Linked DNA regions of Mus musculus. The protein of the gene in region 1 interacts with the protein of each later gene in a biochemical or structural test. Links are inferred from orthologs where the notes say so. Each region holds a gene or a part of one and is shown on either strand. Other genes may lie near its edges.

The links. The genes of interacting proteins can lie anywhere in the genome.
Region 2: the proteins of Erbb4 (region 1) and Nrg1 form a complex in vitro, tested with the Homo sapiens proteins (2 studies listed by BioGRID and IntAct, with this or other methods). The link is inferred for Mus musculus from reciprocal best matches to the Homo sapiens genes ERBB4 and NRG1.
Region 3: the proteins of Erbb4 (region 1) and Abl2 form a complex in vitro, tested with the Homo sapiens proteins (2 studies listed by BioGRID and IntAct, with this or other methods). The link is inferred for Mus musculus from reciprocal best matches to the Homo sapiens genes ERBB4 and ABL2.

What each region holds. Positions count from the first base shown.
Region 1 is NC_000067.6:69,103,521-69,110,996, reverse strand, and holds the start of Erbb4 (receptor tyrosine-protein kinase erbB-4 precursor), read left to right. Parts: upstream 1-2,937; 5' UTR 2,938-3,240; coding exon 3,241-3,322; intron 3,323-7,476. UniProt on the Homo sapiens protein: Tyrosine-protein kinase that plays an essential role as cell surface receptor for neuregulins and EGF family members and regulates development of the heart, the central nervous system and the mammary gland, gene transcription, cell proliferation, differentiation, migration and apoptosis.
Region 2 is NC_000074.6:31,914,804-31,922,090, reverse strand, and holds the start of Nrg1 (pro-neuregulin-1, membrane-bound isoform), read left to right. Parts: upstream 1-3,247; 5' UTR 3,248-3,887; coding exon 3,888-4,554; intron 4,555-4,588; exon of another isoform or gene 4,589-5,302; intron 5,303-6,170; exon of another isoform or gene 6,171-6,317; intron 6,318-7,287. UniProt on the Homo sapiens protein: Direct ligand for ERBB3 and ERBB4 tyrosine kinase receptors. Concomitantly recruits ERBB1 and ERBB2 coreceptors, resulting in ligand-stimulated tyrosine phosphorylation and activation of the ERBB receptors.
Region 3 is NC_000067.6:156,555,551-156,562,826, forward strand, and holds the start of Abl2 (tyrosine-protein kinase ABL2), read left to right. Parts: upstream 1-3,236; 5' UTR 3,237-3,498; coding exon 3,499-3,655; intron 3,656-7,276. UniProt on the Homo sapiens protein: Non-receptor tyrosine-protein kinase that plays an ABL1-overlapping role in key processes linked to cell growth and survival such as cytoskeleton remodeling in response to extracellular stimuli, cell motility and adhesion and receptor endocytosis.

The DNA of each region.
Region 1 (7,476 bases):
ACCCACCACCACCCCATCCTCACGCCTGGCCTGGTTTTAAGTCTCAGCTACACATTTTAGTCAAGTGATAAGATTTTATTATAACACCACACTGCAAAGTGGGGAAATACAGAGATCTGTTTTTGCCTCTGGCAATTCAGATAGCATGTCCTTCCCATACCAGGTAGAAAATGTTCTCTGTGATCCTTTTCCTCCATGTGCTAATTCAGCAGACATGGGAAGCTGATGAGAGCAGACATATAAAATAATAATTCTTTTATATTCTGTTTTAATCTTTATGGCCCCACTCAGGATACCATGTTCCTCTATACATGTCTGTTTCTGATTGAAATGATCTAAGCTAGGCTTTAAAATATAAGATTTGTCCCTATTGAATATGGCATGCTTCTATAAGTTACAACTTTTATGTCCAGTTTGTAGGCTCGAAAGCTGTTGGTCAAATGTCAACCCATGGCCAGGTCAATTACTGTTTGATTCAGTAAGAACCAGGAAAATATAGGTCAAGACAAACCCAACTGAGATTTAGATACAAATTATAGGTACCTTGGCAACGTAATTGGTGAAAGTCAGCTCTATGGAGATGGTGACATCTATGATTGTAACTAAAAGTCCTCTTCTGCTAAGAATTAGTCTGGAAAATGTAGGTGAAGTAAGAACACATATAGAGGTCCTGCAGCAATATATAAAGATCTGCAGCAATGGCAGGATAGGAGTTATTATTTTTGAGTACTAAGACTTGAACTAAGGGTTTCATGCATGCCAGGTACTATACTCTCAGTCTCTCTTCAGGTAAATGAAGACAAAGAAATCCTCATAATAGGCACATCTAGAAAACAACACGAGATATTTACACATCCAATCTTTTTCTCATAACAGGAGTTATAATTTAGCTATTATAATTTCTTCCCTTTTCAAAAATAACTGTCACCAGAAACTGGACTCCAACAAAATGTAGGAGCTGAAACTCCCTCCAGTCCCCTAGAAGTAGCTTGTTTTGTCACTGAAATTGTTATTGTGGTGGCAGATGTAAAAATGAGCAGCTTTTACGGAGAAAACGTATCTGAAAGTAATCATAAGCTGATGGAAGACAGGTAAACTGGGCCGAGATTGTGTTAAATGAAAGGAAGAAATGAGATAAAGACGAAAATAGAGATAACTCCCAAGCCCGGTGCATGTGCTTCTGTAGTCAGTGCCATTCTAGTCAAGGCCCCTTCTCTGGCTCTGGGGATCCATTTTTTCTCTGCCCTGGGCTGCTTCTGGATAAAAAGCACACGCAGTTTGTTTGACCTGCAGTGGGCCTGTTACACACTGTGGGGCCAAGGAAAGGCTTCAAGCTTCAGGCTTCTGCTACTGCTGTTTTCAGCTGCCTGGGAATTCTTAAGGGATGGGATCATAGTCAGAAGATGTGGGAGATGGGGAAGGACTCCAATAGTGACCGAGGAAGTAGGGTGGTTTGGTTTTAAAGCACCCTTGCTTTTTTTTTTTTTGTATATATTTAGTCACTGCTTTGAGAGCAAGCATAGAAAATGCCTTCATAGAATAGCTGTACACATAGCAAAGGAGTATCCTCTGACTCACTACAGGTTCTGGCCCCAGCATAGAGCAGTTTTAGACCTGTGGCCTCTCAGACTACAGTAATCCCTTCCAGGGCATTTTAGACTTAGAGAAACTTAGTCGTACAGCGGTTGATGACCTTGGAAGCACACACCCTGCAAAGAGGGCAAGTGCAGGGCCTCAAGCTGGCCCTGCTATGGCGTGGCCCTAACGGCTCGAAGGTCAGCTAAGATCTCACCTCCTAAACACCTTCAGACCGAACAGCACAGACGAGAGAGTTTGCATAATTTCAGAATCAAAGAATGTGGTTTCACAAATATGGATTTTTAAGTTTGGCCCAATGTCATCTTGGGAAGGTGGGAGAGATGGCTTATTTGGAAAAAAAAAACTATTGGAAGATTTCATCTTACCTGCGAGGCTACCAGCTACCTACAATATCCATTCTAAAGTACTAAGTATGCTAAGTATGGAATATTCTGGGTGATGGCGAGGGACAAAGATATTTTATTCCCAAAGCAACGTTGACTTTCTATTTCTAGGGAAGGTTCTGTGTATGGACTGACACCTTGGAGCAATAAAGAAAATGCCCTGTTCTTGTGTCAAAAAATTCGTTCAGCAAGCATTCCTTCTGGTGGACTGACTACTCAGCGGGCCAGCTGTCCAGGGCCTCTGCCGGGGCAGCCCCAAGGGGAGCGTTTCAGACAGTGGTCTCCACTGAGCTTCTCAGATCCTGCTTCCCCAAGCTCCTACCATGACCCTGCTGCTCCCACTGTCTGACAGGTGTTTTTCCAACTCTAGAGGCAGAGGATTTTGGGGAGTGTCTGAGCCAATAAGATTTCTCCTTAGGGGGAGGGCGTGGCTACATGGGTCAGAGCAGGGGCGGGGCTTGCGCAGCGGAGGAAAGCCTGGCTGGTTGTGTGGAGGGTTGTTTGATTCCCACCCCCCACTCCCCTCTTTTTTTTCTTTCTTTTCTTTTCTTTTCTTTTTCAAAAATCTTTCTTCTGACTCTTATTAATTTCTCTGTGGGGCTGCGGCTGGAGACCGCGGAGCGTTGGAAATGACGTTCGGAGCTTTAATTACTGCAATGGCTGGACAAGTGTGAGGAAAGCTGACAGTGGAAAAAAAGGGGGACAGGATCGGGGAGAAGCAAAGAAGCAACACCCCCTCCTTTTCCCTCCAGATTTGGACAGGAGGTGCAAGGAGACTGAAGAGAGAGCTGAACATAGCCCGGTTTTGGGGGGAGAGGCCGGAACCCCGCCGCCTCTTTGCAATCAACTTTTTTTGGAAGCCTTTATTCCCTCTTTCTTTTTATTGTTGACCAACCAGTGAGGAGAGCGAGCGAGCGAGCGAGAAAGTGAGGAGGGAACGAGCGAGCGGAGGATCACTCCGGGAACTAGCTGTACGTTGTGCTCGGAGCACCAGCCGCACAGTCGCGCTCACTCCCACCCGCGCGCCCTCCTCCGCGGCCCCTTGCCGGGTCCGCGGGTCCACGGGTCCTGGAAGCCGCCGCCGTCGCCGACTGGCTCTCCGGCCCCGGGAAGCCCGTGCACCAAGCGCGCCGCGCCCGCCCCCCTTGCGCCCCCCACGCGCTCCCGGCTGAGGGGGGGAGATCTCCTCCGCGTGCTCGCAAGTGGCTATGGTATTTGGACATGTAATTGTCAGCGCGGGATCTGAGACTTGCCAAAAATGAAGCTGGCGACGGGACTCTGGGTCTGGGGGAGCCTTCTGATGGCAGCGGGGACCGTCCAGCCCAGCGCTTCTCAGTCAGGTGGGTCGCGGTCTCGCGGTTCCCGGTCGCGCTCCAGCTGTTGAACCCGCCACTGCCTCCGGTGTTTCCCTTCTCCCTCGCCCCTCTGTCACCCTTAGGCTCCAGGGACCCTAGGGACCGGGCTTCTGCCTTGGGTCGCCCCTAGCTCCATCCCAAACTTACCTTTGTGTGTGCGTGCGTGTGTTTTTAATTGATGCTACAAATGACTTCGCTTTCCTGCCACCCTCTATATTATTGTCCCCCCTCTCGCCCTCTCTTTAGCCCCCTTCTTTCTTTCTCGCGCGTTTTCTGGGAGCCTAAGCGGGATCGCTTCTGGTGGCGCCCGTTGTTCGGGGCGTGGGAGACCTGAGCCCGTCAGTGGAGGTTCCCTCCTTCTCGAGCTGGGAAGGGGGGGGGGGGGAATCAAACCAAACCGGAGAATCGCTGCACCTCTTCGGGCTGCCAGGAGGTTCCTGAGCTGAGCCTGGCTGGCCTTCCCCGGGGTGCAGGGCTGCGGCGGAGCGCGGCCGGGGAGCCGGGCTTGGCACCTGAGCATGCTGGCGCAGGGTCCCTGGCCCGAGTCTCCAGTAGCCTGCGGGGTCACACCGGACGCCCAGCCCTATCCGGGCAGCTGGAGCGCACCGGGTGCGCGCCTCGGCCGGGGGCCAGGGACTCTGGGCCTTCTTAGTTGGCATCTCTAGGCTGTCTTGAGATTGACTTGGGGCGAGAAAGAGGGTGTGTGTGTGTGTGTGTGTTGGGCGTGCGACTCTTCAGCCAGCATGATCTCTCTCTCTCTCTCTCTCTCTCTCTCTCTCTCTCTCTCTCTCTCTCTCTCTCTCTCTCTCTCTCTCTCTCTCTCTCTCTCTCTAAAAGAGCCTGGCATACTGAGTCCAGAGCTCGGCCTTCCCTCCCCATGCTGGACTTGGCTCTGGGAAGAGTTCTTCCAGTAGTGCAACTTGGGGTTGGCCTAAACTTCTGTTTACTGCCCTGCCGGGCTGCAGAGCTCGCGGGTGGCGCTCACTGACTTAGCCCGAGGCGGGCCGGGTGGCGGCGTCCTGAGCGCTGCCACTGTTGGCTGGATCGCCCAAGCCCCAGGTATTTGGACAGAAAAAGGACTAATTGACCCCGAGAGAAACAGTGTCGCTGTCGTGCTGGGGCCGCCAGAGCCAATGACAGCAGCTGCGATGTAGAGGAGCTCAAAGTTTCTTGACTCTTGGGAGTTACCCCGGGGATGAGAGGAGGGGACGCGAAAGGACTAAGGAGAATCTGTGTGTCTGACCTGGCCCAGAGGGGAGAGAAGAGGGCTTTTGGAGAAGGCAGAGAGATTTCCGGAACCTTCCGGGGCTGGTGGCGGGAACGTGGGCGTCAGCTTGAGAAGATAAAACATTCAGGAGTGGCGACAGGGAGAGCTTTAGGTCCCTAGAGGGTGTCCTTCTGACCTCACCGAGAAAGCTGCAGCTTGCTAGTTTTCCCGCTCCGCCCCCGCTCCCGCCTCTTCCTCCTCGCCTAGTAAATAACAAGTTACAATCTCTGAGCGGTTCAAAATGACCTTCGAATGGCACATGTGCGCCATTTGTGCTGGCCGTTTGCATACTCCCAGTGACTCTGAAATTCTTCCTGCATACCAGATCCTGCGCTCCAGCCACCTCTGGAATCAGAGCAGCAGCAAGGACTTGAGATTCCAGGCGGCCGCCTAGATACATCCCTTTCTAGCCCCCGACTCGGAGCCCTTTGCCTTTCCCCTCAATGGGTTGATTATGCACATTGACCCATTCAAAAACACTTGCCACTGTCATGCAGGCTTAGCCGAGAGGAATTTCTATCAGGCCACCCTACCAGGGAGCTGTCTGGCGTGGCCCGGGCCGCTGGGGGGATCCCCGCTTCAAGTCCACAGCAATTTGGTATTAACTCTGCAGCTCCCGGTTGGGGCTATGCCGAAAAGCCCTTTTCAGAATTTAGGCAAGGAATGTAATCCAAATTAGTTCTGCAGCTGTCCCCTTCCGCGTCTCAGAGGACACCAGCCTGCGCCCAGCTCCCTCTGCTCTTTTCCCTGGGCGAATTGTCAGACCCACAAGTGAGCCCATTTAGAAGCAGGAGGATTAGCGTGCCATTGTTGTTTCGTGTGTGACTCTGTACTTGAAATTCTAGGGGCACAAAAGAGAGCCTCACTTGTTCAAAACACAAAGTGATCTAGATGAAAGGGCCGCACAAAGAAAAGCTCTCGGGTGTATCCTCGGTATAATTGCAACAAGCATACTTAGGTGATCTATTGGAAACTGTCTGTGCCCCCAAGGGCTTCTTCTTTTTTTCCAGGCGCCTCCACCACACCTGACAGAGAAAGTTCAGCTGGTTTTAATGTAGTGCTATTATCAAAACAAGTCGCTGTCTGGTGAGAGTGAGGCTCTGTTTGCGGCTGTGCATGTGTGTGGCTGTCTATCCAAGTAAATACATAGCGCGCGTCTCCTCTCTCGCGGTTAGCAGTCAGCAGCAGTTTGGAGGAGTTTGTTTTGGTCCAAATGAGAAATTAAGTGCGGATAAGTAAACTAGGCTGCCAGAGGGCGACAAGATGTTGAGTGAATTGCTTTTAGATGAAACAAATTAAGGAAACGAGGGAAGACAATCTGCTTTTCGCATTATTAGACACGCTTGGAGTTCAGGGGAAAGTGGCAGATTTTTGAAATGCTAATTTCTTAAGCAGAAGGAATGCACCTTATTTACTGCTGTGTGTGAACGGAATAAAAACATATAGTGGGTGTTTCTCTTGTACGATCATCAAGACGTTTCTTGGGAAAATTGTACGCAAGAAAACTTGGTTGTTCTTTTGCTGGAGGAGGAAATAGTCAGCTTTTTGAGTATTTAAAAATAATTTCAAGAAATTTATGTCTGATTACCGGTGATAAATGTTATCTATAAATGTTTTGATCAAGGGCCTTTATATGGCAATTCCACCTGGAGGAATAATTCTACAATGTTTCCTTCTTTCTGTGGTGGAACTTATCAATATCGCTTTTGTAACTGAAATAAAAATATACAGTTGTGTTGAAGTGACATTCTCCCAAGTCTTAATATGTGGTGGACAAGATCATTTTTCTTCTCATGTGCAAGCTACTTAGTTCCCCTGCTTTTTATCTAAAGTGCACACATAGTCTATACACTTACGGCTTATTATTCCCCTCCCCCAATCTTTCAGTGGTATTCTACATTTAAGAAATATTATTAATGAAACTTAATGAGAAAAATATTACACAGATTTTTAAAAAAATGCATCAATCTTTTTTTTTCAGAGTGCCTTTGCAATGGTCACAACCATGGGTACGCTCTCCCCCTTTGTTCCTTTAATTTTTGAAAAGCATGCATTTGTACAAGCTAGCTTTACAGAAGAACATGGTTTTTCATTCTGAATACTTCAAAATAGATGAATACCTCGCATGGTAGCTTCAAATTACTTGAAAACACGGCAAGTTTCTATGGTTGAGATGAAGTGGAATAACTCTGCTCCTGTCCTCATTCCTGGTTTTTCTCTTTAACTCAACTGCCTTTATTTTAATCATGCATGCACAAAAAGTCAAATGTCTTGAAAATCAAGCACTTACAGAAATATATATATATATATATATATATATATACACATATACATATATATTTCCTTTACTCTTTGGAAATGTGTCTTAATTAGGAAATTACATCAGAATGTTTACTGAGGCTTTCATGTGCTGGAAGATTTATGTATTTTTTTATTCTAACCTGAACATAGTGTTTGCATTGGCTGATTTTTTACAGTTTGCATTCACTTGATAGAAAAATCATATTTCCTCCTCAGAGTGGATTCAAATATTTAGTATTCATGAGCTTTCATCTCTTTGGTTCTTAAATAGAAGTGCTATTTATCATCTGTCTTACACACTCACCCTTTCCATTACTATGATTCCTTACGTATTATTTATTGAGTTTAGGCACATGTGAATATATATTTTTCCCCTTCCACCACTAAGTGTATTCATTTTGTGTGTGTCTTTCCCAGCAACCTGCCACTCAGCCTCTGCAGGAGTTCCCTAAGCCAGTTTTCATTCTTTCTCTCTGATAAATCTGATATGGCTGGTTGGCTGAACAATCGTAAGCCATTCCATTGCTCAGATTTATTCCCGAAAGAAAATAAAACGGCATCGACCACAGAT
Region 2 (7,287 bases), on another chromosome or scaffold:
GTTTTTTTATTTTCTTTCATTTTTAAAATTTTTCTCAGTAGAAACAGCATGAGCCTGGCCTTCTTAAAATATTACCCCTTTCATTTAATAGTTATTCCCTGCTTAACTTCCCCTAGCTACTTGTCTCTTCATTTTCAAGGTGAGTGGACTTTAAAGGATGAGAGATCAGACATAATGTATGTTATGAACTTGAGAGTTCCTGGCACATAGGTGGAGCTCAATAAACATAGCTTTTATGGTTATGAAGGAGGTGGTAATTATAGGGTTTTAAAAAGCAGTAAGATTTTTGTCTTATTTCATGTTTCTAAGAGCACATGGGAATGGGTGTTCCTGGGTTTCATTAAGGTGGACTTCACAGGGTTAACAATGGTCTGCCCTTGAAGCTCTCCCTATAAACAAATATGTTGCTTCCCAAGAAGTGTGGGGTGGTAGCCCCACCGATGCTGGCTTCCTCATACTTTATTGCTGAAAGGGATCTGAGGGAGGTGACAGGCAGCTTCTGGCACCTGTCCCCAGGGGAGAAGTAATGGAGAATTCCTTTTTCCCCCCTTCTGTCCTCCCTTTTCCACTTCCATTCTTTTTCTTATTTAATAGAAAAGAATAGCAAAACATAATGGTTTTATAGGATTTCTGCATGCTAATAGGAGCCACAAAGTTCACAAGATGCACATCCAAGGAGGGGGGCATACATCCTAAAGTCTGACTCTTGTAATCTGATCCCTAGGATAGTTGTTACAGTCCTAGGAGTCTAGTCCCTCTTTGGTGTTTTGTCCTAGCCTGTGGGTAACAGGATCATTTTCCTTGTAAGTGACAAGGGTTTTAAATAAGACAGCTTGATTCGGCAGCCACCTTCCCTGTGATTAAGGTTAATATGACAACTAGAGAATGAGCCAGCAGCCTTTTCTGTGACTGAGGTAAAGCAGGTAATTGCTATCGGTGGGAGTGACATAACACCTTTTCAGAGCTGAGGGTTATGTCCTTGGTGTTCCCTCACACCTGCCAGGCTTGTAGCTACCTGATTCCACCCAGTCCTTGACATTTAAATGACCTTGGCTATGGATAAGCTCCCTGTTCAGTCCTTGAATGTAAGGTTTGAAAGCAGACATGGTAATCCATGAGGAAACTATAATCCTTGAGTATGTCAAGATGCTATTTTTATTTGAAAATTTACATAAATATTGGCAACTAAAATCTTAAGCATCAAGTGCTTTGGTATTTGGTATTTGGATTTCTCGCTCTAAAAAACTTCATGTCCATCACTAGAATCTTTGTTAAGAAAACTCTCATTTTCTCAAAATCAAGTAAATGAAGCGAGAAAATGATCACATGAACCATTTCAAAATACTGGTGCATACACATGCAGGTTGTGTAGAGGTGAACTTCCGATGACTCATTTGTGCCTGTGAGCTTGTCATAATCCTGGTTGCAATCATGCAAATCCAGCCAGGCTTTTGTTGGTGGCAGTGGTAGGACAGAAAACATAGTTTAAGATACTAATGCTCTTTGAATCATTCATAATTGTGGAGTAATTTCATCTGGAAGGAAATTATAATATTCTTACCTCCTGGCATGTGAAAAGGCTTAAATAAATATACTTCAAAAACAGTAGAATTGTCCTGCATAAAATGAATTGCAGATTTTCTTAAGAGTTGAGCATTGCCTGTCACTGCCCTGGGTCTGCATGGGATGACGATGTTGTCTGGATTTCGAGAGAGTTTGTAAGAGTTCCCCTATGGACACAGTTCCTTGGAAGTCATTTGGTTCCTTGGAAGAGTGGCTTAAATGTTCAGATGCACAGACAGACACTGGAACACCACGGAATGTTCCCTGGAGCCTGTGCTCTCTCTTACAGTGAGTTTCTTCCATTTCTTCCAGTACTTCAAGTCCTGTTTCTAAACAAACAAACAAACAAACAAACAAACAAAAATCAGCATGGAAGCTATCTGTAAATCACAGTTTCTGAAACCTAATCCACAAGGCACGCTCTGATTGAAAATTCTCAATACTGGCAGTGCGATTATAGCTGAGGAGATGTGGTGTGTATTACAGTGCCCAGGGAATTCAAGCCTCCTCTGCAGTGTGGAGTCAACATGAAAGGCTAATTTGAAAATGAAGCGGTAGATAGCGTAAGTGTTCCTCTTAGGTTGACATTATTCTAGCTTACTCTGGATGGAATAAGGAGGACTCAAATGTAAAGAGCAGGAAGACACTCGGGACTTTTCCCCTTCCCCCACCCCCCCTCACACCCCGCCCCGCCCCCGCACACACTCAGCATTTCGCTCTGAGCATTGAAAAAGTCTTTAGCCACAAGAAGGTGGCTGAAGGAAGAAGGCAGAGCTGTCCATGGTTTAGAAACAGTGCTCTAACTGCTGGTTGAAAACCGGGTAATAAGAGTCCTGTTAGTGAACAAAACTTATTAGAGAACTGGCTACGGAAGGAAGGAATGCCGCTGAACAGCAGGCAGGAAGAAATTGCTGTTGAAAAGCCTACCTCTCTGGGGAGGAGTCAGAGATCAGACTTTGCCAAGCCTCAGGTCTAACCCAGAAGGTCCCCACCTCCACCCCCCACCCCATCCCCCTCCATCCCAGCTTTGTTAGATTGCTAGCATCATCGATCCCTGGCTTTTTCTGACCCCACAGTGGGTGAAGAGGAGAGAGCCAGCAAGACTGAAAGCAAGCAAGGTGGAGTGTGGGATGGGAGACTGGGGCCTGCTTTGGTAGAGGGAAATTAGAAGGGGGGGGGGGGGAGGAGGCCGGGGGAGACCCAGTTTAGCTGGTTCCCGGCTGCTTCTCTTTTCTCTGGCCTTTATTCCTTGTAATTGGATAAAATAGGAACTCACTGGCGGACCTGCGTTGCTGGGTATACTGTACTTATTAGAGACCAGCTAGCAGTAGAGTGGGGACTGGGGGTGCGGGGCACAGGGGAGGGAGGGAGGGAGGGAGGGAGGGAGGGAGAGGGAGAGAGAGAGAGAGAGAGAGAGAGAGAGAGAGAGAGAGAGAGAGAGAGAGAGAGAGAGAGAGAGAGAGAGAGAGAGAGAGAGAGAGAGAGAGAGAGAGAGAATATATCTTTAGGAGGAGGAGGAGGGAAGAAGAGAAAGAAGCTATGAAGAAGGAAGATTGCAGAGGAAAAAGTGACTGAGCGCAAGAAGGACAAAGAGGAGTGGTTGGGGGTGGGGGTGGAGGCAGGGCGGGGAAGGGAGTTACCGCCCCTCCTGGCTCCTCCTGCCCTCGCATCCTTGTGCAATGGTACTGTTTGCCGTGATGCTCAGAGGGCAGGCACCTGCTGCTCTGTAATGATTCAGCCTCTTTCAGCCGCTGCGTTAACACGACAGGATGCTGTTGCTACTGTCGCTGCTGCCCCTCCTGCCGCCGCCGCTGCTGCTGCCGCCGCCTCCTCTGGTCTTGCTTTTGCTTTTACTTCTCCTGCATGACAGTTGTTTTCTTCCTCTAAGCAGACACCAGCTTCAGACGCTTGAGGTGAGAAACATGCCTTTCAGTTTGGGATACTGGTTTACTTAATCAGCTAGGCATCAGCTTGCTTCCTCTTTTGGTCCCCTGCCTTCTTGAACCAACCGGGATGGTTTGGAGAAGCCTTTGAAAGAACTGAAAAAGTGTCCCAGAAACAACAGCTCAAGATATTTCGGTACACTTCTATTTCATAGTTGCTAGAAGCCCTTCCTTTTTCGTTTCTTTTTCTTTTTTTTTTTTTCCTTTTTTTTTTTTTTTATCTTTTTCTTGCTTCCTCTTAAGCTCTCTTACTTTGGATAATGGCCTTGGACTTGGGTGCCTTATCGATTTCCCCCTTCAAGATGCTGTATCATTTGGTTGGGGGGAGCTCTGCATGGTAATGCACTGTGAGAGAGGCCGGGCCTTCTGGAGGTGATCCGGATGGAGATTTATCCCCCAGACATGTCTGAGGGAGCTGGCGGGAGGTCCTCCAGCCCCTCCACTCAGCTGAGTGCAGACCCATCTCTCGATGGGCTTCCGGCAGCGGAACATATGCCAGACACCCACACAGAAGATGGGAGAAGCCCTGGACTCCTGGGCCTGGCCGTGCCCTGCTGTGTCTGCCTGGAAGCGGAGCGTCTCAGAGGGTGCCTCAACTCCGAGAAGATCTGCATTGTTCCCATTCTGGCTTGTCTAGTAAGCCTCTGCCTCTGCATTGCTGGCCTAAAGTGGGTATTTGTGGACAAGATATTCGAATACGACTCTCCTACCCACCTTGACCCTGGGGGGTTAGGCCAGGACCCTGTTATTTCTCTGGATCCAACGGCTGCCTCCGCTGTTCTGGTCTCATCCGAGGCATACACTTCACCTGTCTCTAAGGCTCAGTCTGAAGCCGAGGCTCATGTTACAGGGCAAGGTGACCATGTCGCTGTGGCCTCTGAACCTTCCGCAGTACCCACCCGGAAGAACCGGCTGTCTGCTTTTCCTCCCTTACACTCCACTCCACCGCCCTTCCCTTCTCCAGCTCGGACCCCTGAGGTGAGAACACCCAAGTCAGGAACTCAGCCACAAACAACAGAAACTAATCTGCAAACTGCTCCTAAACTTTGTAAGTAGTGAGAGAAAGAAAGGCGATGGTGGCTTAAAAGAAAGGGTGGGAGGGAACTTCCAGAAGGCAAACTCTAGAGGGTTAGCTTTTTCCTTTGAGTTTGCATTTTAACCGGGAGGTTTTATTTGGTGAATCACGTGACAGGGAAAAAAAAACAAAATAAAGCAATTTTATAAACTCCTAGGATGAATCAGGTCTTTTAACAGCAACTCCATGTAGCCAGGTTGTTAAGTCTGAGGTTGTCAATTAAGAACTACAAGCATCTTTGAAGTTGGGCTTTGGATGTAAGCTAAGGTCAATTGATTTGCTATAGTTTTAGAAGTTAATATCTGACTGTCCTTCATATTTTAATAGGCATGTAACGTCGGTGTGCCAATAAGTATTATTTGGTATTGCGCCTGCCATTCAGTAGAGTTTCTTTCGACTTTCTTCTTCCCATTCTGTTTCCCCGGAGCCCCAAGCTGCCTGTCATCTTTCTCCAGCTCTTCTTCCTGCCTCTTTAGTACATCTCTGCACGTCTGAATTGTCATTGTTTGATTCTGATACTGCAGCAAGTCTGAAAGACACAGTCCTCCCTCTGCTGTCCTCAGACCTGTGCCGTACATACATTTGGTTACTGAGAACTGACCAGAGGCAGTTTGTATTTTGTTCAAGACAGACTGCAGTTTTCCACAGAAGGATTTTCCTAAATGAGTTTTGTCTTCTGTAATCAAGCATTTAAGTACATTCCTGCCCAGTCGTTAACAAGGTACCTCTTTCTTTTTTTTGAACGTGTGTCATTTAACCCCATCTTGTTGCCAAAGCCTGGCTTAATAACTTGTGTGGGAAAAGACTCCACGCTATTAAAACAATCCAGAATGAAACACTGGTGTGTGCAGAGGTCATTGCCTTAGCTTTATGATGGAAAGTTGACAGCCATGAGATGATGACTAGCCAGATTGTCCCAAATGTCAGCACTGAGCTGGGTCTTTTGGTTACAATATTTAAAGAAATGTTTTTAGTGTTTTCAGTTCCTGTCTTTCCCACTCTTTCTTATTACCATCGATGAGTTTACTTAGTAGGAAAAAAAACCCCTAAGATATGAGAGAATTTGATTCTCAACAATGCATGTGAAACACTTTAGTGTTAGAAGGAGCTGAGGGTAGAGAGTTTATAATAAAGCGCCTCTTCAGTTTTCCCTCTAGACCGTAAGGAAGAGTAAATAAGACCTCCTCCATGCAGTGCTGTTTAGAATGAAGTTGTGCACTATGCTAGGGAAACTCAGGAAAAAAAAAAACAAACAAACTTGATATGTGCACTCCATTCAAGGTTGTTTGACATCTTCCAGCTTCAGTGTAAAGACTTCAAAAGGATGCCTGCGTTTCGTTTCCAGGTGTAATTGGGAGAGCCTCCTGTATGCAGATACCACTTTGCATCTTCCATCAAATCCCTAAAGCATCATTAAAAATCTGACAGACTCTCTGCCTTTGCCGCCTCTCCCCACCTGGCAAAGTGACCGGGAAATAATCCCCAGATGAAATGATGGGCTATAAAAAGCAAGTGCAGTTCCTGCAGAGAGGCAGCATTCTCCACGCAGGCCGACAAGGTTACCTCTTTGTCTTTATTGTTTTCAACAGAAAAAGCTTCAGCTGAGATATGCACGCATTGGTTGAAGTGCCCAGAAAAACTGAGGAGGTAGCTCTTTGAGAAACTCTTCCAGACCAACTGCAATTTTGTCATCTGATGTGAACAGACAAAAGAAACAGACAGCACATGTCCCTGAAGTAGGTCCCCATTAGAAAGCCCTCAGAACTTTTGAGAAATTGATTTTGAAAGGAAATTCTACTAAGTGTTTTTATAGGCTATATATTCCAACCCAACCCACCCAATCTGTCTGTCTCTCTGTCTCTCTGTCTTTCTGTCTCTGTCTCTCTCTGTGTGTGTCCTTTTTCTTTTCCTAGCCAAGGCATTGATTTTTATGGCATTAGCAATAAGTAGGGAAGATTTACTGCTGCTTAAAAGCCTCTGCAGAAGCCACCTCTGGCCTGAGCGCAGCTGCAGTATTCTGAAATGTGTCCAGCACAATGTCTGTGAAGCAGTTTTCTCTTGAAAAGTTGGGGGGCTGGGGTGGTGGTGGTGGGGAAGACAGTTGATTAAAGCTCTAGACCTGCGGGGTTCTCTATGTGAAAGTCTTACCTTTTTGGACTTAGCAAGACTCAGCATCCGTCAGGTGAGGCTTGGTGAGTCCAGGAATGTTGATTTGCAGACCTGCCGTTGGTTGCTTTTCTGTTGTTTAGAAAGGCTGTGGTCATTAAGTGAAGGAGAAGACAATGCTTAGCCTGGGGCCCTTGTCTTGTCTGCTTTTTCATCTGGGTTGGTTGAGAACGTTCAGTTTAGTTGTAGAAAGAACTGGACTTTCTTCTTCGCTGTGCAGGTTTGACATGGGCTTTGCCATCATGGCCTTGGTTTTCAAGTGACATGATTGGCTCTGAAACAAGCTCGGCCATGGTTTCAAGACGGCACCGTCCCTTTCCCCCTTTTCTTCTGTCTCAGCATAGTCAGCATCTCAAGCGCAGAGCTCTAGCCTTCAAGGTCATTGTCTGTGCAGGGCTAATTGATTCTTCTTCATCCTGGAGCCCCAGAAACTGGACGAGTGGCAGACATAGCTTTATCATCGACTCTCTTACTCCCAAGCCCAGTTGACTGCCTTGTCTTGAGATCTTATTTTATAAATACTAGAATTATCCACGTCTT
Region 3 (7,276 bases), about 87 Mb from region 1:
TAGATGTGGAGCTGGACCTAGGCCTCCTACACATTTGTAGCAGATGTGCAGCTTGGGCTTCGTGTGGGGCCCCTAACAATTTGAGCAGAGGCTGTCTCTGACTCTGTTGCCTGCCGTTGCTTCCCCTTTCCCTAACTGGACTGCTTGGTTGGGCCTTAGTGGGAGAAGATGTCCCAGGGTGGGGTGGTACCCGAGTGAGGGCTTCCCCTTCTCCTCAGAGAAGGGGAGGGAGTAATGGAGAGAGGGACTTTTAAGGGTGGGACTGGGAGTAGAGGAGGGGAGCAATTGGGATGTAAAGTGAATAAATAAATCATACACACACACACAAATCAAGCAAGCCAAAATTCCAGCATGAATTGAGGAGGCGCTCATGAGGCCCCACTTCTAGCTGAGAGGTTATTAATAGTTGGTGGCTGCTGGGGTGGGAGAGTGGTTCTCTTTGGGGATGTGCCCATTGGTAGGTTGGTTGTCCACACTCAGGGACAAGGGCAGAGGAAGGGCTGAGAAGTGGGAGGATATGATCAAAATACATGTGTATACATAGGACATTCTCGGTAATAAAAAACTGTATTAAAACATAACCAGAAAGGAGAAGACAGAACTAGAGGATCCACTGTCATTGGGGAATCTCTGTAAACAAGGAGAAGACAGAACTAGAGAATCCACTGTCGTTGGAGAATCTATGTAAACGGACTCTACAAGCACTGCTCTGTTGCTTTTGCTTTACTGTTTTTTGTTTATTTGAGACAAGGTTGGCCTCGAACTTCTGAATCTTCCTCCTCTGCCTTATATTTTGAGTGTGTGTGTGAATAATAGTATATATTTACATGAGGCTTTGCATCTGCCTGGATGTTTGTGCCACCACAGACGGTTTTTTTCTTTTACAACAAATATGCTTTTCCTCCTGCCCTCTCTCCTTCCCTCTTTTCTTTTCTTTTTTTTTTTCTTTTTACTTTCATGCTTGTTTTTATAAAAGGTTTTGCTATCTATCCTGGGATGGCTTGATTTCTGGTTCCAGCCTTCAGAGCTTCTGGGGTTGCAGGCATATAACTATCCCTGTTCTGCTAGAGCTAAGTTTTGAGTTTAAGCCTTCTAATTTCAGAGTCCCTGCCCTTAACCACAGCACTGTTCTACACAGCAATTACTGTCCATCATTCACGAATTAGCAGAGAAACCAAACTGTTGTCACCAAGTTGAAATTCCACGGGTAAATAAAAAAGAACAAACAATAAAAACAAATCCTACTTCTATGATCATCTTTGTGTTTTGTGAATTAATCTCTTCAGTAACTGTAACCACTTTGTGAATGAAAAGAAAATAAATAGTATTTGGGGCAGCGTCTTGCTATGCCACACAGGTTGGTCTCACTCAGATTCTCGGCCTCAAGTCAAGTGTCTCCCTGTTTCAGCTTTCTTAGCAGTGCGAGTACAAGCCCATAGCATAACATCGAGGTGTGTGGCCACTTTTGTTCTCAGACAGGCTCTTACGATGCACTTTAGTCTAGCCTTGAATTTGTGATCCAACTGTCTCTGGATCTATTATAATAGTGGTACAACATGACACTCAGGGGAAAAAAGGGTATTTTAAATACAGATAGACTTTGATATAAATGAAAATTCATATTCCATCCAGTGCTAAAGTGTAGTGCTTCTTTTCAATGGGAACTAAATTCCGTTGTCTCTGGCTGTACCCTGGGTGGCGATGAAATAACTTAGAGTGTTCTTAGTGTGGGCACATGTGTGTGCGTGCCGGTCACAGGACAACTTTTACTGTCAGTTCTTGCTTCTTTTAAGACAGGGTCCCTTAGCCACTGCACATGTAAGCCAGGTTTCTGGAGACCCCCTTATCTCTGCCTCCCCCCTTCTTGTGGACCAGCTGGGATCACAGAGCTTGGGCTGGTGCATCTGGCTTTTCTCTATGACCAGTAGCTGCTTGTGTGGGTCCTAGGCAGCAAGTTCAGGTGGTCAGGCTTGCAGTGCAAGTCTTCTTTGTCATTAACCCATCTTTCCCCAGCTCCTAAGGCTCTTTAATAGTGAATATCAAAATCAGCTGGAGTGGGGGGCGGTAGTAGCAAGTGGTAGAGCACTCACCTGGAACTCAAGGTCCTGAGTTTGAGTCTCACCCACATGCACTTGTGATCTTACACCATTCTACAAAAGACATGTATGGGGAATTATATCTATTTTGCTAATTCTTTTCTTCCCCAGGGTGGTTTTCCTTGGTTTAAGCAATGGCTCCAGTCCTCATGGCACATAGGGTGTACATCTATAAAAATAGCTTCTCTTCTGTCCATTTCTCTATTTAGACCCCAGACGGTGAAGATGAGTAAGTTTTGACTCAGAAACAAGGTCAAAGTGATTTATCTTTTCCTTGCCAAAAAGGAGGGCCCAACCTGCACTGAGAGGAAAGCATGTCTGTGAGAAGAGTCGCTTTACTGTCAGGCATTTTATTTATTTATTTATTTTAAAGATTCATTTATTTATTATATGTTAGTACACTGTAGCTGACTTCAGACACTCCAGAAGAAGGCATCAGATTTTGTTACAGATGGTTGTGAGCCACCATGTGGTTGCTGGGATTTGAACTCGGGACCTTTAGGAAGAGCAGTCGGCGCTCTTAATCACTGAGCCATCTCACCAGCGCCCCACCAGGCGTTTTAAAGTAAACAGAAACACATGCGGGTAGGTCGATGGTGGAAGAGTTCAAGAGAAATCCACGGTAGTATGAAGAATTGAGTTCTAACCGCTTTGCCAATAAGACGGCAAAGTGCACATCAAGAAATAATTCACCGAATTAAGTTAACCCCGCACTTGACCATCTCCCCGTGAATTCTGTACCATTCCAAACTTCATTCTGGGCCCAATGCTAAGTGTGTGTGAAGGGCTCCTCAATTGAATGGCAGCGAAGCCCAGGGATCAGGAGCCTCAGCTGTTTGGTGCTGAGCTGCGCGGCGCACGTGGTGGCTTCTCAGCCTCTTCTGATTTGACAGGTGGAGGTGGGACGGGAAAGGCCGGGCGCCCACAGTCCTCCAAGTGGGGCAGTGTGTGGAGCCGAACGTGGGTGAAGGTAGCAGTAAAAGCACTCGAGGGCCCTCGAAAGCTTCGCTGACCCTGTGGGCCCCGGCTTCCACCCAGCGGGGCGCGGCGCGGGGCGGGGCTCCGCCGAGCTCCGCCCACCGAGTAGCGGAGGTGCTTGGGCGAGAGGGGGGCGGGAGACGCTCTGTCCCACGCTCGCCCTGTGCTCGGTGGTTTAAAGATGGCGGCGGCGGCTGGGGCGAGGAGCCGCCGGAGGGGGAGGGAGAAGGAGAGTCTGTGAGTCGCTGGGAGGCAGCGCGGCAGCGGCTCCGAGGAGTCCGCGTGGGAGCCGCCGGCAACTCCGGCCCAGAGGGCCTGGGCTTGGGCCGGAGAGACCGGAGCGGCGCCAGGAGCTCCGGAGGCCGGAGCAGAGGAGGAATGTGAGCAAGGGTCGGCGGGGGCGCGGGAGTACGCGAGCGGCGGGATGGGGCAGCAGGTGGGCCGCGTCGGGGAGGCTCCGGGGCTCCAGCAGCCGCAGCCGCGCGGGATCCGGGGCAGCAGCGCAGCCAGGCCCTCGGGCCGCAGGCGGGACCCGGCGGGGCGTACCGCAGACGCCGGCTTCAACGTCTTCACCCAGCACGGTGAGTGTGTCCGGAGCCGGTGGAGGGCATGAGGGAGGCCGGGGAGGGGTGGGGTGGGGTCGGGGCGAGGTGCGAGGCGGATGGGCAGCCTTCGGGGGGCGAGGGCTGGAGGGGTGCCCGCGAGTGGGGGCGGAATCGGCTGCCATCTGGGCCAGTCACGGGAGGCGAGGCACACCCCTCCCCCCGCCTGGCTGGCAGCGTCTGGGGGCGGCGGCGGCGGCGAGCACGAACCGGGGTCTTAGGGACCCAGGCTTGACTGTCCTGCTATCCTGGGACAGGACGGGGCGACTGTGGAACTGTGGATGGTATCCCCAGGGAGGGAAGGATGAAGGCAGGTATGAGCTCAGGTTCAGGAGGTGGGAGGATAAACCGGTTGTGAACGACGGGAACGAGTCGTGCCCTGAGGAATTGGGAAATAGGTACTGAATCTTTAAGAGATTGTGGTGGCATATTCGGTATGTGCTTTATGAACCAGGCGGTGAGCAGTGTCAGAATGGTGAACTGTGAAACCCTTTTCCGTATCTTTTTACTTTCAACAGAGTATTTTCTCCAAACTAGAAATGAAAGGCTTTGCCAAACCACCCTGTTCTGCCTATCCGAGTAGGACACAGGATTCTGAGATGGCTGGCGGGGCTGTCGATGGGTGGGCATGGTTAGGGCTTCCTTCCATGTGGTCTGAACATGAGTTTTTCTTTGAGCTGCATTGGTGTATACATATGTGCTCCGCATAGTCTGGGACTTACTCGGTGTCATATTCTTCAGAAGGGCTGTTTCTAAACTATTTAAAATTATATTTATTTTGTGTGTATGTGTATGTGCGCACACACCCATGTATGCAGAGGTCAGGAGACAACTTGGGGAGTCATTTCTCCCAGGTATTAAACTCTTTATCAGGCTTGGGGGCAAGTGCCTGAACTCTAGTAAATACAAATTTTGAGCACATACTCTTAATTTGTGTGTCTTTATTAATATAGACAAGGTTATAGTAATTAACAAATAATGTAATCAACGGTCAGAAATAGAGTATAAGAAAGGGTGCCATGAGGAAAATTAAGTATAGAGCCTTGTAAATTAGTGACAGTGTACACAGCTTATGTGAGGCCTGAGTTCAAGCCCCAGTATCGAAGAAGAAGAAGAAGAAGAAGAAGAAGAAGAAGAAGAATGAATGAATATTTTTTCCCCTTGATGCCAAGTGGATTCTTTTGTTCTTCCATAGTGTGTTGTTGACCATTTTTAAGAGCATTGTTCTAGAGGAGGGCAGAATAGAGAAGGAGAAAAATATCAGAAGCCATCCTAAGACCTGAGAGGCTGGTGATGGAGATGTAATATCTGTAGGAAGGACCGGCTAGCAGAGGTAGCAAGCTGGTTTCATTGATAATATGTACAGGAGTGAAGTGAAGGATAAACTGTCCCGCTGCACATAGCTCGGGGAAAGGGAAGGAGAAGAAGTGTAGACTAGTCACGGGAAAGGGCGTTTCAAAGGAAGTGACGATAGCATGCAAAGAGATGATCCCAAGACTTGTAGCTGCTGGGTGAGTTGTGTCCGAGTTCTGCATTTGGACTTAGGAATAGACAAATTTTGTTTCCCTTTTCCTTTTTTAATTTGTAAAAGCAAAATGTAATTTTACATGTGTGTGTGTTTTGCTGCATGTACATATACATACCTGATGCCGTATAGGCAAGGAGGAGGGCGTTAGGTCTCTTCCTGTAGATTGATGGTTGTGAGCTGCTCTGTGGGTGCTGGTAACTGAACCCAGGTTCTCAGGACTGGTTAACAGCATTCTTGCACATATGAATTCAGTTTGGGGCAAGTATAATAGTACGCAACTTTAATATCAGCACTTGGGAGACAGAGACAGAAGGGTCTCTTAAGAGTTCAGGGCCACCGGGCGTGGTAGTGCACATCCCAGCACTTGGAAGGCAGAGGCAGGCGAATTTCTGAGTTCGAGACCAGCCTGGTCTACAAAGTGAGTTCCAGGACAGCCAGGGCTACACAGAGAAACCCTGTCTCGAAAAACCAAAAAAAAAAAAAAAAAAAAAAGAGTTCAGGGCCAACCTGGTCTTACCTGTTTTCACCAGTATTCTAATTATAAAAAATGAGGATGTGTTAAAATTACCATGAAGGTTTTCAACCTGGGTAACTGGGATAATAACGATTTTATTGACAAAGTTGAAAGTTAAAAGCTGATGGATAGGATGTGAATATGGTAGCCCAAGACTAGTGTAAAAAAATTAATAAAAACTGGAAGAAATACAGTAAATCCTTTTTAATTTGGGGGGGGGGCGCACGGGTGCTCCAGGGGATTAAACTTGAGGGCCTCATCTAAGCTAGACCGGTGCTCTCCCACGAGCCCAGGCATCCAGCACAAGGAGGACTCTGGAATTTAGTTAATATAGTCATTCAATTCAAAGTCTACCACATTCTAACAGAAGTGATCCACAAAGGATAACCTGGCCTACCAGAGAGGCGGGGGTAGGAAATGTGGAGACATTTTTGCTTGTACCTAAGGAGACAAACTAGAGGACTAGGGAGGTGGCTCAGTGGTCAGGCGCTTGCCTACCCTGTCCAAAGCCCTGCCTGTAGCCTCCTATACTGTTTTCAAGACAGATGCCTGCGGCTTAGACACACTCTGAATTTGAGGCCAGCCTGATCTACGTAGGAAGTACACACTTGTCATGATTGTGAAAAATAGTCTAGATTATGAAAATAACACATATATCACTATCCTTTTCCTACTGCATCCTGTAATCCCAGCCTGGGAAAGCTGAGGCAGATGGATTGCTGTGTATTTCAGGTTAGCCTAGGGGTGTGTAGTGAGTAGCAGACCAAAAGGGCCCATGTAGCAAAGCTGTCTCAAAAAACTGGAAAAAGAAATCACTGCCTTGAGTATATTGAATTATTAGCATATAAGTCCATAACTAAAAGCTCTGGTGTGGCGCTGGAGAGGTGTCTGAGTAGTTGAGAGCTTGCTGCTCTTGCAGAGGACCTGAGTTTGATTCCTGAAACCCATTCTGGGTGGCTCATGACTGCTTGTAACTCCAACTCCAGGGCATTTGATGCCTTCTGACTTCCTCCAGCATCCTCTAATGCATGCACACTAAATAAAAATAAATCTTAAAAGTGTAATAGGTCCTTGACTTTATGTGTAGATTTATATTTTAAATTTTATTATTATTATTGTGTGTGTATGTGTGTGTGTGTGTGTGCGTGTGTGCGCGCGCGTATGCGCCTGCATGTATACACACACACACACACATATATATACACACAATATACACACACACACATTTATATATTTTGTAGGGAGGCAGTGTGTGTGTGCACTTGTGTTTGAGTGCAGGTGTGCATAGAGAGCAGGGAACAGTTTTTGGGACTTTTCTCTCTTGTCCTGGGTCCTGGATTGAACACATGTCATCAGGGTTGCACAGCGATTGCTTTTGCTTGTTTTTTTTTTTTTTTTGTTTTGTTTTGTTTTGTTTTTTTGAGACAGGGTTTCTCTGTGTAGCCCTGGCTGTCCTGGAACTCACTCTGTAGACCAGGCTGGCCTCGAACTCAGAAATCCACCTGCCTCTGCCTCCCAAGAGTGCCACCACGCCTGGCTGCTTTTGCTTGTTAAACTG